Linked DNA regions of Oryctolagus cuniculus. The protein of the gene in region 1 purifies or fractionates together with the protein of each later gene. This does not show direct contact. Links are inferred from orthologs where the notes say so. Each region holds a gene or a part of one and is shown in the gene's direction. Other genes may lie near its edges.

Region 1 (4,089 bases):
TCAGGAGCAAGTCCTACAGTTTATTGGCTGAACTGGAGGCAGCTGTGCGGAAGCTGTTTACTTCTCTCCCAGCGCCATATTGTGGGAGAGCAGATGCATAGAATAAGTCTTAATTCCAGTAACTCAGTCTAGTCCGGTTTGCTCCCCACACTGAGGGTCTGCAGAAGGAAGAGGGACAAGTGCAGAGGCTGGGCTCTGAAAGCCTCACTAATGCTGAGGGAGGGGAGAGAAGAGGAGGAGGGAAGAAGAGGAGAGGAGAGGAGAGGAGAGGAGAGGAGAGGAGAGGAGAGGAGAGAGGAGAGGAGAGATCTTCTGCCAGAGATCTTCTACCTGCTTTTTCACTCCTCAAATGCTCACGACAGTCAGGGCTGGGCCAAGAACTGCATCCGAGTCTCCCAGGTGGGTGGCAGGGATTCAAGTACTTGAACCATCACCTTGCTACCTCCCAGGGCATGCATTAACAGGAAGCTGGATTGAAAGTGCACTAGCTGGGACTAGAATCAGGCACTCTGTGGGCCCTCTGATATGGGAGGTGGGCTTAACCTGCTGTAGCACAATGCCAGCCTCAGGAGAGTCCTCATTTAGTTGGCAGGAGCCACGGATCTGGCTCCAGTTCACAGACTTAGTGCATATTACTAAGGGGGGAATCACTCCTTTCGAGCCTTGGTTTAGCTATTGCAGGCGCGTTTTAGTAGTAATGGTAATAAAGGACCACTAAGTGCGAGCTTGGAGTGGAGTCTGACCCCTTGTATCGGAGGGAGGAACCATTTGTTTCAAACTACGTGTGCAAACAACTAGGATTCCACAGGTAGGATTTTTCTAAAGTGAATCAGCATCTTAGTATATGGGTGGGAGCCTTTTGGAGACACAGATCCAAAGAGTCATCATTCTAGAAAAGCAAATACCGCCTCAGGAACTCTGAAGTTCCCATAGGAACTGTATTCCCATCTCCCGCTTAAACTAACGGACCACAGTCAGTTTTTGCCCTCAACAAAGATGGCACCTGCGGGCTCCTGCGGGAATGCCCTCATAAAAAATGGCAGCTCCTTCTCTTTCGTTAGTTTTATGGGCTAAAGCGCCGACGTTCTGCCCTTAGTTAAGATGGCGCCCATTGCCGCTTCCCTGCCCTGCCTCTCGCCGCCGCAGGTTGGCTTCACAGCGCGCGTCCGTGGCCCCGCCTTGTTTCCGCAGGAAGAAGCGCCGGGAAATATGGCGGCCGCTGTGGTTTGAATTCCAGCGGCGCCGCGGGAGTCAGAACAAGAGCTGGGTTGGAAGGGGGGCGGGGACCGGGGGAGACGGGCGGGTCGCCACAGCGGGGGCAACCAGTGGCGCCGCCCCCACAGGCACCAGCGCCACCATCGCCTTTTCATCCGCTATGGACTCGGTGTTGGAAGAGGACGTCAGCCTCCCTGGGACGCTCAGCGGCTGCAGGTGCGGCCCGGGCACAGTGAGGGGGTTCGCGGTCATCAGGCTGGGCTCTCCGCTGATGGGGCCCTGGGGTTTGCTCTTGCGGGTGTTGGAGTGTTTGGTCCCGGGCAGTGTGTGTGTATGCCTGCCTACTTCAGGTTATTTTACGGAGGGAGGCTTTGCGTTGATCGTGTGGGGGTCCCCACTGGCCCCACACTCGCTTCTGTTGTTTTGGGGCGCTCTTGGAAGAGGAGGTGAAAGCCGGGTTAAGGGGCTTTCTGAAAGAGCAGGCCGAGGGGGACCACTTGGAGTATGCTAGTAGTTGGGGGCTGGTTGTGGGACGGGGGTCTTGAGGGTGTTTGATGGCTCACCCTGGGCACGGGTTTGCTTTCATCGTGGGGGAGGTAGTGCCAGCGCCCAGACTTTTCTTATTAAGGTCACAGAGTCGCGACGGAGGATGGAAGCAGTGAAGTACAGTGTTTAAGTTCCTTGGCTGGAGTTAGAACTGGATTCAAATTCAGACTTATAAAGTAGTCATCTGGTGGCCTTGGTAAAGTGACTGAATCTGATTTCCCATCTGCACAGTGGGCCGGTGTTAATATCCACGCAGCAGAATGGGGTGAAGATTGAAAGAGGCAGTTCACTGGGCAAGTGTAGTTAGTGCCTGGCATACAATGAGTGCTGAAAAAATGCTCTAGTGTTGCCATTGTCCTTACTATGATCAGTAGTGATGGAGATTGAGGACTAATGGCTGAGAGTGGCCTTCCAAGTCCCCATTGCTGGTGGGGCTGGGGTCTCTGTGGCAGGAGGTTCTGCTTGGGTCCTAGACTGCTCTGGGCTGGGTCTCGGGTTGTACCTGGGTCCTGATGGGAGAGTAGATGGAAGGAAGGGGAGGAGAGTCCTGACGGAACCCACACTGCTTACCTAGTTTTCCTAGGGACAGGCTGCTGCTTTTGCTCAACAGATTCTTAGTGAATGAAATTGTTATTTAATGTGTAAACTGGATGCTTTTAAGAGTAACTTGGGCACAGTCAGTATGTGTGCCTGAACAGCAAGGTAGGAATCCAGCGGTGGTGTCCTGGGCAAATCTGGAAGATGCGTACTCTGTGTATCACGTACAAAGCTCTTTGCAGCTTTTGCCTAATCAGATCTTTGTGGAAGTTCATTATGTCCCTTCTCTTCATCTTAACCACCACTACTACCACTGCCTCTCACCTGTACTGTTCTGGCTTCCTTTAACCACCAGCAGTTGTTAATACTACAGCTTGAAAACTCTATTTTTTTTTTTTAGAATATGGCTAGCTTTTTAAAAAATTATTTAAGGTATACAAATTTCATGTATTCCTATATGCAGATTCAGGAACATACTAATACTTCCTCCCCGACCTTTCCTCCTGCCCACACTCCCACCCTTCTTCCTCCTCCCTCTCTTATTCCTATTCTTAATTTTTACAAATATCTGTTTTCCGTTAACTTTGTACTCATAAGATTAACCCTAAACTAAGTGAAGAGTTCAACAAATAGTATGAAGAAAAAAAGCACTGTTCCTCAACAGTAAAGGCCTGTAAACAAATATCAAGTTTCAAAATGTCAATTTTACTTCTATAGATTACCTTTTAGGTACTCTATTAGTTATATAGATCAGGGAAAACATGATATTTGTCACTTTGGGACTGGCTTATTTCACTAACTATAATGGTTTCCAGTGGCATCCATTTTGTTGCAAATGAAAGGACTTCATTTTTTTAACTGCTGTATAGTATTCTATAGTATATATATAGAATAATTTCTTTATCCAGTCTTTAGTTGATGGGCATCTGAGTTGATTCTGTATCTTAGCTGTTGTGAAATAAGTTGCAATAAACATGAGGGTACAGATCACTCTTTGATACGCAGATTTCATTTCATTTGAGAAAATTCCTGGGAGTGGATGGCTGGGTCATATGGCAGGTCTGTATTTAGATTTCTGAGGTATCTCCATCCTAGCACAGTGGCTGCATTGAAATACATCCTCATCAGCAGTGAGCTGGGTTTCCATTTTCCCCACATCCTTGCCAGCATTTATTGTTTGTTGATTTCTTATGAGGGCCATTCTAACTGGGGGTGAGGTGAAACCTCATGTGGTTTTGATTTGCATTTCCCTGATGGCTAGTGATCCCGAGCATTTTCTCATGTGTCTGTTGGCCGTTTGTATTATCTCTTGAAAAATGCCTGTTCAAGTCCTTTGCCCATTTCTTAACTGGATTGGAAAACTATTAAATATAAATCTGATCCCCACAGTCTGCTGCTAAGTACTTTGAACACTTTTTATTGCCATGAGGATAAAGCCCATTACTCTCTCAGCTGGCGCCACTCTCATCTCAGTGCTGGTTGACCAAATACTTGGCTTTGGGACCCAGACCTAGCTCAGTTTGAATCCCAGTTCTGCTACTTTACCCTGTGACCTTGATAAGTCACTCATCCTCTTTTAACTTCAATTTTCATCATCTATAAAATGGGTTTGTGCTAAGCCCAGGATTAGCATAAGGATTAAAATGAGTTTACTCAACAGAATAGCAAATACTCTCCTTTCCCTCCTCTCCCTGCCTTTGCAGGACCAGGGTGTTGCACACTTCCTGATAGCTAATCTGTCTGCATCTTCCCCAGCTCCTCCCTGTCATCAGGATGAAGCTCTTTAACGTG
Region 2 (3,623 bases), on another chromosome or scaffold:
GCTCCCCAGCAATCCATTCACCACTAAGCCAAGAAGAATGATCTTTTGAACATCTGATTATGATTACTCTTCTGTTATGCACACCGTAGCCCACTCTCAATTCAATTAGAATGAAATCCGAGTTCATTAACTCTGCTGTCCAAAGCCACATGTGACCTGGGTGCTGTCTACCTATACACCTCATGGTATTACACTTTTCTTTGCCCATTGTTCTCTGGTCCTGTGCTGTCCATAAGCTAGCCACTATCCTTAGGTGGCCATAGAACACTGGAAATACAGCTAGTCTGAATCAAGATATGCCGTGTCAAACGTGCCTCGAATTTTAAAGTCTTCGTCTGAAAAAATTATGTAAAATATCTAAACAATGTTTATATTGATTCCATGCTTATGATATTTTGTATATATTGGGTTAAAGTATTAAATTTATTTTTTAAGTTCTTTTTTTTTTTTTTTTTTTACTTTCTCCAATGAAATGATTAGAAAGTTAAAAGTTCCATATGTGGCTCACATTATGTTTCTGTTGGAAAGCACCACCCTAGCCACATGGGCCATCCTCTTTCCCAGACTCACGCTCTGCTGATCTTCTGTAGGACTGGCTCCTTTTCATTCAGATCTCTATTTAAATGCTGCCTCACAGAGACCTTCCCTGACTAATTTAATCACCTGGCTGCCAACTCTCTGTCCTGCTTTCCTGTTTTGCTAGAGGGGTTTGTCACTGTCTGCTATTTTGTATATTTCTTTATTATATAGCTCCCCATTCCAACCCCTGAAAATATAAGTTTCAAGGGAACAGGGACTTGGTTGCTCCAATACAGTACTCCATTTCTAGGTAATGGTATCGTTTGGAAGTCAGTGTTTTGTATGCACTAGCCCTACATTTTCCTCTCTCTTTTCTCTTCTTAGAATGGCTTTCCTCATCCACCATAGCCTCCTGTAAAGATCCTCTCCAGATTAAATTTTGTGTCCCCCAAGAAGCCTTTCCTATACTTCTTTTGAAATGAGTGTTTTTCTTCTCTATTTTCATGATATTACTACTTCCTCAGTAGACTGAGATGGTTTGGAGCCAGGGCTATGTGTTAGTCAACACTGAATTTCTCACATGGTGCTGCACATGTTACAGCAGTTATTGATGCTAGGAAGTTTCATAAGTAGTACTAGAGGAATAGGAAATATTTTTCTTCTAAACTCTGTATTTCCAGTCACTTGCTTGCAGGAAGAGTTTTAAGATATCTTGTGATTCCCCTGTCTGGAAGATGATAAAGGGTGAAAGTGTAAAAGAAAAAATGAATAGCAGCTGTCCCCCCCCCCCCTTTCCTAATTGGATTGCTGATTGGAGTGGAAGAAGGTATGGCGAGAGGAGGTGAAATTTAATGCCACAGTGAGTTCCTTAAATTTTATTTTAATATCCTTGGCTTATGATGATTATTAAGTTCAATAAGTTTATCTTAGTCTGATTGTCTTAGTGAATTGATATTCTTATAAAAAGCCCCACCTTCCCTGACCGCTGTGGATTATTTATCCAGACATGTGCTATAAATCTATCTTTAAATAGGCATATGTTTTACATTTAAGTCTTTTTCCTTTCTATTTTGGAATGATTCAGGTATACAGGGAGGTTGCAAGAGAAATACAAAGAACCACCCTTACTAGGTTTACCAGTAGCTAATATTTTGCCACGATTGCTTTATCCCGCTCTTTTTGTTTAGGCATGTTGCTATTATTTTTTAAAATCTTGGAACCATTTGGGAATTAGTTGCAGCTATAATAATAGCCTTTACCCTAAATACTTAAACATGTATTTCCTAAGGACAAGGATATCTCTTACACAACTGCAATGAAATCACCAAACTGAGGATATTAGTACTAGTAAAATACTATTGTCTAATACAGAGTCCATATTCAAAATCTGCCATTTTTTTCCAGTAATGTGAACAGGCATGTTTTAAGAAAGGTTAATTGGAATATTATACTTCCTCTCTTAGGAATGATGTGTTTGCTTAGTCTTTCCGATTCCCTGATGCAAAATGGATAAAGCAAATATTTGACTATTGTAAGCATTTTCTTTTGTAACTCCCTCCCTTCTCTTTAAACACTGAAGTATTTGCTGAGTGAATACGTATATTTGTATGGGTGGGTAGGGAAGGGCAGGGAGGGAAGGGGAGGGACAGGGCATAGTAAGGATGGAATGGAATTGGTGCTCTTTTTTTTTTTTTAACACTATTTTTTCCCAAAGATGTATTTATTTGAAAGGCAGAGGTTTATATTTATATATAGAGAGAGATCCTGGGAGAGACAGACAGATTTTCCATCTGCTAGTTTACTCCCCAAATGGCTGCAACAGCTGGGGCTGGGCCAGGCTGAAGCTGGGAGCCTTGAACTCCATCAGGTTTCCCACATGGGAGGCAGGGGCTCAAGTACTTGGACCATTTTCTGCTGCTTTCCGAGGCACATCAGCAGGGAGCTGTGAACAACCAGTGCTTATATGGGATGCCAGCATTGCATAACCACAAGGCTGGCACCAGAGTTGTTGCTCTAATAAGGAACAGGACTGTCTTCAGGAAACCATGTAGCTATTTCACACAACAGCTCCAATCTTCCAGGTCTCTGGCAAAAGATGCCTCACACATTTGAATATGAAGATAGCATTTATTGTTGGCTTCATTTAATTCAACTTGTCTCACTACTTCTTCTTAGCCCATGTCTGAAGAGTTACTCAAACAACAAAAGGTGAATTCAAATGAGACCACTACAACTCAGCAATCTGTACCTGATTCCCACTTGGCAGAACTCCAAGAAAAAATCCAACAAACAGAGGCCACCAACAAGGTATGATGAATTCTATGCCCTTGGAGATCACCTGGATTTTCTGAGATTGTGCTGGCTCTAGCTTGAGCCTGTTAACCTGGATAGGACGTGGGAGATGAATTCTGTGGACTCCTAGTGCTCTAGGGAATATTTCACTTAAAGGTATAGGCTTCCGTCCCTCCATCCCTTCCTTCCATCCTTCCTTTATTTATTTACTTGAAAGACAGAGTTACACAGAGAAAGGAGGGGCAGAGAGAGAAAGAGGTCTTCCATCTTCTGGTTCACTCCTCAATTGGCCGCAAACGGCTAGACCCGCGCCAATCCGAAGCCAGGAGCCAGGAGCTTCTTCCAGGTCTCCCACATGGGGGCAGGGGCCCAAGGACTTGGGCCATCTTCTACTGCTTTCCTAGGCCATAGCAGAGAGCTGGATTGCAAGTGGAGGAGCTGGGACTCAAACTGGTGCCCATATGGGATGCTGGCACTACAGGCGGCGACTTTTACCTGTTACGCCACAGCGCCGGCCTCTCCCTTTCTTTCTTATCTAGATTTTACTTGCTCTATACAGACCACAATTTCTGGTGTGCCTTTTAGGTGTATGATTATAACTTGTGTTATAATAAGTCTTTAACTGTAAAAGGTGCCTGGACAGGAAGTTTGTGCTTTTTGGTTTAGCTTAACTTCTTACCCTTTTATGGCCCATGGATTTAAAAATGTGTTCTGAGAAGAAAATTGCTACAATATGGGATGCCAAACTTCTGGCCTGGTGTGCCATTGTAGCTTCCTGTTCTGTGCTGGACAGCAGATGCTCCTTGGTCCAT
Region 3 (4,350 bases), on another chromosome or scaffold:
TCCAATTTCGTACCATGTAAAACTGCATCCTCAGGGCTGGCGCTATGGCGCAGTGGGTTAAGCCGCTGTCTACACTGCCAGCATCCCGTATCGCTCCCAGTTCGAGTCCCGGCCGCTCTGTTTCTGGTCATCCTCTCGCTGCCTGGCTTTCTCCGGGGAAGGGGCCCCTGTGACCCTCGAGGGGCAGCCCGCAGGTGGACAGCGGGGGAGGGCGTGGGAGCACCCCTAACCCCTCCCAGCGGCGGGCGCCTTCGGGGTCTGCCTCAGCTTCCAGAGGAGCTCCGACAACTGAGGAACGCTCTCCACACAAAGGTCTGGCCTGTGGGACCGACCCGGACCAGCGACGGCTCCAAGAGGCTCTGCCCGCCCGTGGCAGGCAGTCCGACTTCCTGCAGCCTCGACCCCTCAGACGGTCCGCACGCGACCCAGCCTGGATCCGCTGCCAGGGCCAGCCTCACCTCAGAGCGGAGAAATCGGCCACCCGGAAGCGACCGCACGGCGCGTCAGGCCCGCAGCCGGGGAGCGCCGCACCTCACACACCCGCAGCGGCACAAACCCGCCCATTTTAAACCTAACCAACAGCTGAGCGGTCCTCTCAGAAGGGGCAGGCACGTCAGCGCACCAATCGCAGCCCGGCGAGCAGCAGGGGCGGAGCCTCCCCCGGGCCGCTCCTCCTTGACTGCGCGTGCGCGAAAGCGGGAACGCGGGGTCCTCATTGGCGACGCAGCGGGGCGGGCCGACGGCGGGGCGGGCCCACAGTGCGTGACAGTTGTCGCTGGGGGAGGGCGAGCCCTGGCGCGGGGGAGGGAGTGTCAATAGAGCGAAGTCGGCGCCGTGTCTACACCGCCAGCTCCGGGCGACTCGTGAAGACTCCAAGAGGGAGATGGAAGAGGATGAGCAAGAGCAGCGGCGCCGAAAGGTGGAGGCTGGGAGAGCGAAGGTAAACGGCAGCACGCCTCTCCTCCCGCTGCCCCAGCGTGAAGTCTCCGGGGCAGGCTCCGGTGCTTGCCGCCGCCCTCTGCCAGGAGCGGACGCGGTTAGGCGTGGAGCCACCGCCAGGCCTTGCCTTTCCCGCCGTCTCCACTGGAAGTTTTCTCCTGACCGCCGCCATCTTGAATCCGCCGCCCTCTGCGCGGGCCCGCCCCCACTGCGGCTGTAGCCAATCCGCGGCCGGGACGGGAGCGCCTGGCGGGTAGGCGGGGCGAGGCGGGGCTGCGCCTGCGCTCTGGTGTTCTGCCGACCCCGCCCCGTTTCCCGGGAGACGTGATGGCGTTCTCCGGGGCGCTGCGCGCCTTTGGCCTTGTGAGCGGCGCGTGCGGCCCCGGGCGCTCCGCCCACTCGCGGGTTTTTACCTGGGTCAGCCTGGGGCCTGGCCCGGCGCACATTGGCGCTCTCCGTGCGGGTGTCACCTGCGTGAGCGGGACCCGCCTGAGGAAGCGTTCGGGGCTGGTTCTCTCGGTGCGGGGCAGTGACAGGGACCGCAGAACCGGATCCTCACTTGGCTTCCTTTGGCGGGGTGTCCGGACGGCCTGAGGCAGGCTGCTCGCCAGGATGCGAAAATGAGCCGGAGCCCAGAGCTTCCGCATGTGTTCCCCGAGGTCCGCAAGGAGAGCCAGCGTGCTCCTAGGAGCCTGGGAAGTCATGAGTCCAAGGCCTGTGGCGGGGCCGCGTCCGTGCTTCAGAAAGTGAGGGAGGGCACGTGGGGAATAAAGCTGGGGTTGGCTTTGGAGGCAGTGTTCAGCCTTGATGTGGTTTTTTCCAAAAGTAAATGACCCGGTGTCCATGAAATGTGCACTTACGGTCCAAGTTACCATGCGAGGAACACGGGCCCCCTGTTGTTGGACCTCATGCCCTTTGCGTGAGGCGGGGGGTGACCACGTAGGAAAGCTCTCAGAGTTGAGGGGCTGAGCAGAGCTAGGCTGTATCTTCTGACGGACGACATTCTGTGGAGGTCCCTGGTGCTTTGGTGAGCTGTGTCATGAAAAATGGAACATCTGATTCCGTAAAGGAAGATGTTAGATTGACCTGGCTTAATTAATTTTTTGCTATTTTGGTAGCTTGTCTCAGATTCTATGGCTAGGAAGTTTTGGCTGGAATATATATTTCCTCGGTTGGGGGAAAAGGGCAAGAAGGGAGCGATTTAGCTTTTTGTAATTTTGAACCTAAAACATGCCTTGATTAGTCTATCCGGCCTTTAAATAGAGTTAAGGTTAAAAATCCTAATTTTCTCCTAAACCGCTAAGGGTCAGAAAAGCGATTCTGCCAGTCAGCTCTATTGTTTCTTTTGCCTGGATATAGGCATCCTCAATGTCCTCATTACTAGACTCTTTTTAGATAATTCTGAACTTAATGCTGGAGTCGTAGATACTAATGAAGGCAGCGTTTGTGGGAGAGTGATCTTATTGGCCAGGTGTGGCTGCGTGGACCGAGTCAGCGCTAGAGCCTCATGTTCCCCTCGAGTCTGTTGACTTTGTGGTTCTGTTATTTTTTTCTCACTTACCTTTGCCTTTACTACTTCTCCACGTTCTTGCGCAGCTTGCTCACTTCCGACAGAGAAAAACAAAAGGTGACTGTGCGCATTCGAAGAAAAAGACGGCGAAGAGGAAGGGCTCGGCTGTCCATGCGCCTGTCCAGGAGGAGAGCCCGGTAGCCGCTGAGGACAGTGGACTCTTTGGAGTGAGGGACGTGTACAACACATGCTGCGAAACCCCTGACGGGGCGACAGGGGCGTTTGCGGCTGAGGTAGGTTTCCTCAGCGTTGTGTTTTCACAGTTTGCTCTTTTTGTCATTGCTAGTGTAACTTACCAAAAGTAGACTTTGGTCTGCTTTTCCCTTTCAAAGGTGGGAAAGAGAGTTTGTTTTAGTTTACAAAAGGTGAGTAAATTTTAATAATGGTTTTACTGTTTTTAAGTATTTTGTCTTTATTATATGAATTTAAGAAATTTTGAATTGATACCTAAATAAGATAGTGTTAATTTCAGTGGTTGTTTTAGTTAGGGCAAGTTTTATAAGTGTGACTTGTGTTTGGTGTGTTGCGGTTGCGTGGGAGGTTGTCATATGTGGTGTGTGTATCAACCCCTTTAACATGAGTTTCTTTGGACACTTAGAGTACTTCTTCATCTACTCTCATATGTACCGGCCTGTTATCTTTGTCCTTTACCTTCTTACTGAAGGTGATGAGATGGGAAGAGTTGTAGGTGTCATAGAAATGCGGTATTTCTGGAGGAGGCTGGCTGACTGGCTGGCTAAGGCCTTGTGAGCAGCCTGGGTGAGCCCCTGGGGGCAGGTGCAGCAGGTGAGTGGCTGTTGAGGGTGCTGCAGGTACTGTCTCTCATGGCTCCCCTGGCTCTCCAGATCTGCCCTTAGGTGGAATCTCCCTGGGATGGTTTCTCGTGTGGATTATAAGTGAGTTGCCTTGAATCTTGAGTGTCCCTGCTCTGTGCAACAGGGTGGGTGTTGGTTTAGGTCTTTGCTAGGATGAGCTGGAAAATACAAATTTACAGAACTTGGAATAGAATTTTGAGGGCAGAATTTGGCTCAGTCATGATGTGTCTGGCCTGCCTTATTCATAAAAGATTAATTGTCACCAGCATGTAAAACTTGTGATAGTCTCCCTACAAATGTGGAATTTTACTTCTTTTTTTTTTTTTTTTTTTTTTTTTTTTTTTTTTTTTACTTTTTTGACAGGCAGAGTGGACAGTGAGAGAGAGAGAGACAGAGAGAAAGGTCTTCCTTTGCCGTTGGTTCACCCTCCAATGGCCGCCGCGGCCGGCGCACTCCGCTGATCCGATGGCAGGAGCCAGGTGCTTCTCCTGGTCTCCCGTGGGGTGCAGGGCCCAAGGACTTGGGCCATCCTCCACTGCACTCCCGGGCCACAGCAGAGAGCTGGCCTGGAAGAGGGGCAGCCGGGACAGGATCCGGTGCCCCGACCAGGACTAGAACCCGGTGTGCTGGCACCGCAAGGCGGAGGATTAGCCTAGTGAGCTGCGGCGCCAGCCTGGAATTTTACTTCTTTAAAAAATTTTAAGACCTTGCTGTGGTGCTCCCATGGATTCCCTGAGGCCAAGCCTGCTGTGTTGCTGTGGATTCATTCTGAGAGGAGGAGAATGTTGTGGGCAAGAGGCACGGAATCATGACACAGACACCAGGAGGGAGTCAGGTGAAAGCGGGCCAGAGACCAGCAGCCTGCAGACTCGTCTATTTCAGTTGGTGCAGCAGCTTATATAGCTGAGGCAGCCAATCCGGTTAAGGGGTGGTTTATGCCGTAATCAATCACTGCCTGCTGCCAGGCAGGCTCCTTTGCTAGGTGGGTTCCAAAGCCATTTTCTGAGTAACTGATGCTCGCTCCCC

The links.
Region 2: the proteins of CDK5RAP2 (region 1) and PDE4DIP purify together in Homo sapiens (affinity purification with mass spectrometry; 3 studies listed by BioGRID and IntAct, counting the BioPlex papers as one, with this or other methods). This does not show direct contact. The link is inferred for Oryctolagus cuniculus from reciprocal best matches to the Homo sapiens genes CDK5RAP2 and PDE4DIP.
Region 3: the proteins of CDK5RAP2 (region 1) and PCNT purify together in Homo sapiens (co-immunoprecipitation; 4 studies listed by BioGRID and IntAct, with this or other methods). This does not show direct contact. The link is inferred for Oryctolagus cuniculus from reciprocal best matches to the Homo sapiens genes CDK5RAP2 and PCNT.

The regions. Positions count from the first base shown.
Region 1 is NC_091432.1:224,487,632-224,491,720, reverse strand, and holds the start of CDK5RAP2 (CDK5 regulatory subunit-associated protein 2), read left to right. Parts: upstream 1-1,186; 5' UTR 1,187-1,375; coding exon 1,376-1,431; intron 1,432-4,089. UniProt on the Homo sapiens protein: Potential regulator of CDK5 activity via its interaction with CDK5R1. Negative regulator of centriole disengagement (licensing) which maintains centriole engagement and cohesion. Involved in regulation of mitotic spindle orientation.
Region 2 is NC_091438.1:50,619,552-50,623,174, forward strand, and holds part of PDE4DIP (myomegalin), read left to right. Parts: intron 1-1,987; exon of another isoform or gene 1,988-2,050; intron 2,051-2,694; coding exon 2,695-2,826; intron 2,827-3,623. UniProt on the Homo sapiens protein: Functions as an anchor sequestering components of the cAMP-dependent pathway to Golgi and/or centrosomes.
Region 3 is NC_091435.1:550,307-554,656, reverse strand, and holds the start of PCNT (pericentrin), read left to right. Parts: upstream 1-1,467; 5' UTR 1,468-1,559; coding exon 1,560-1,685; intron 1,686-2,535; coding exon 2,536-2,742; intron 2,743-4,350. UniProt on the Homo sapiens protein: Integral component of the filamentous matrix of the centrosome involved in the initial establishment of organized microtubule arrays in both mitosis and meiosis. Plays a role, together with DISC1, in the microtubule network formation.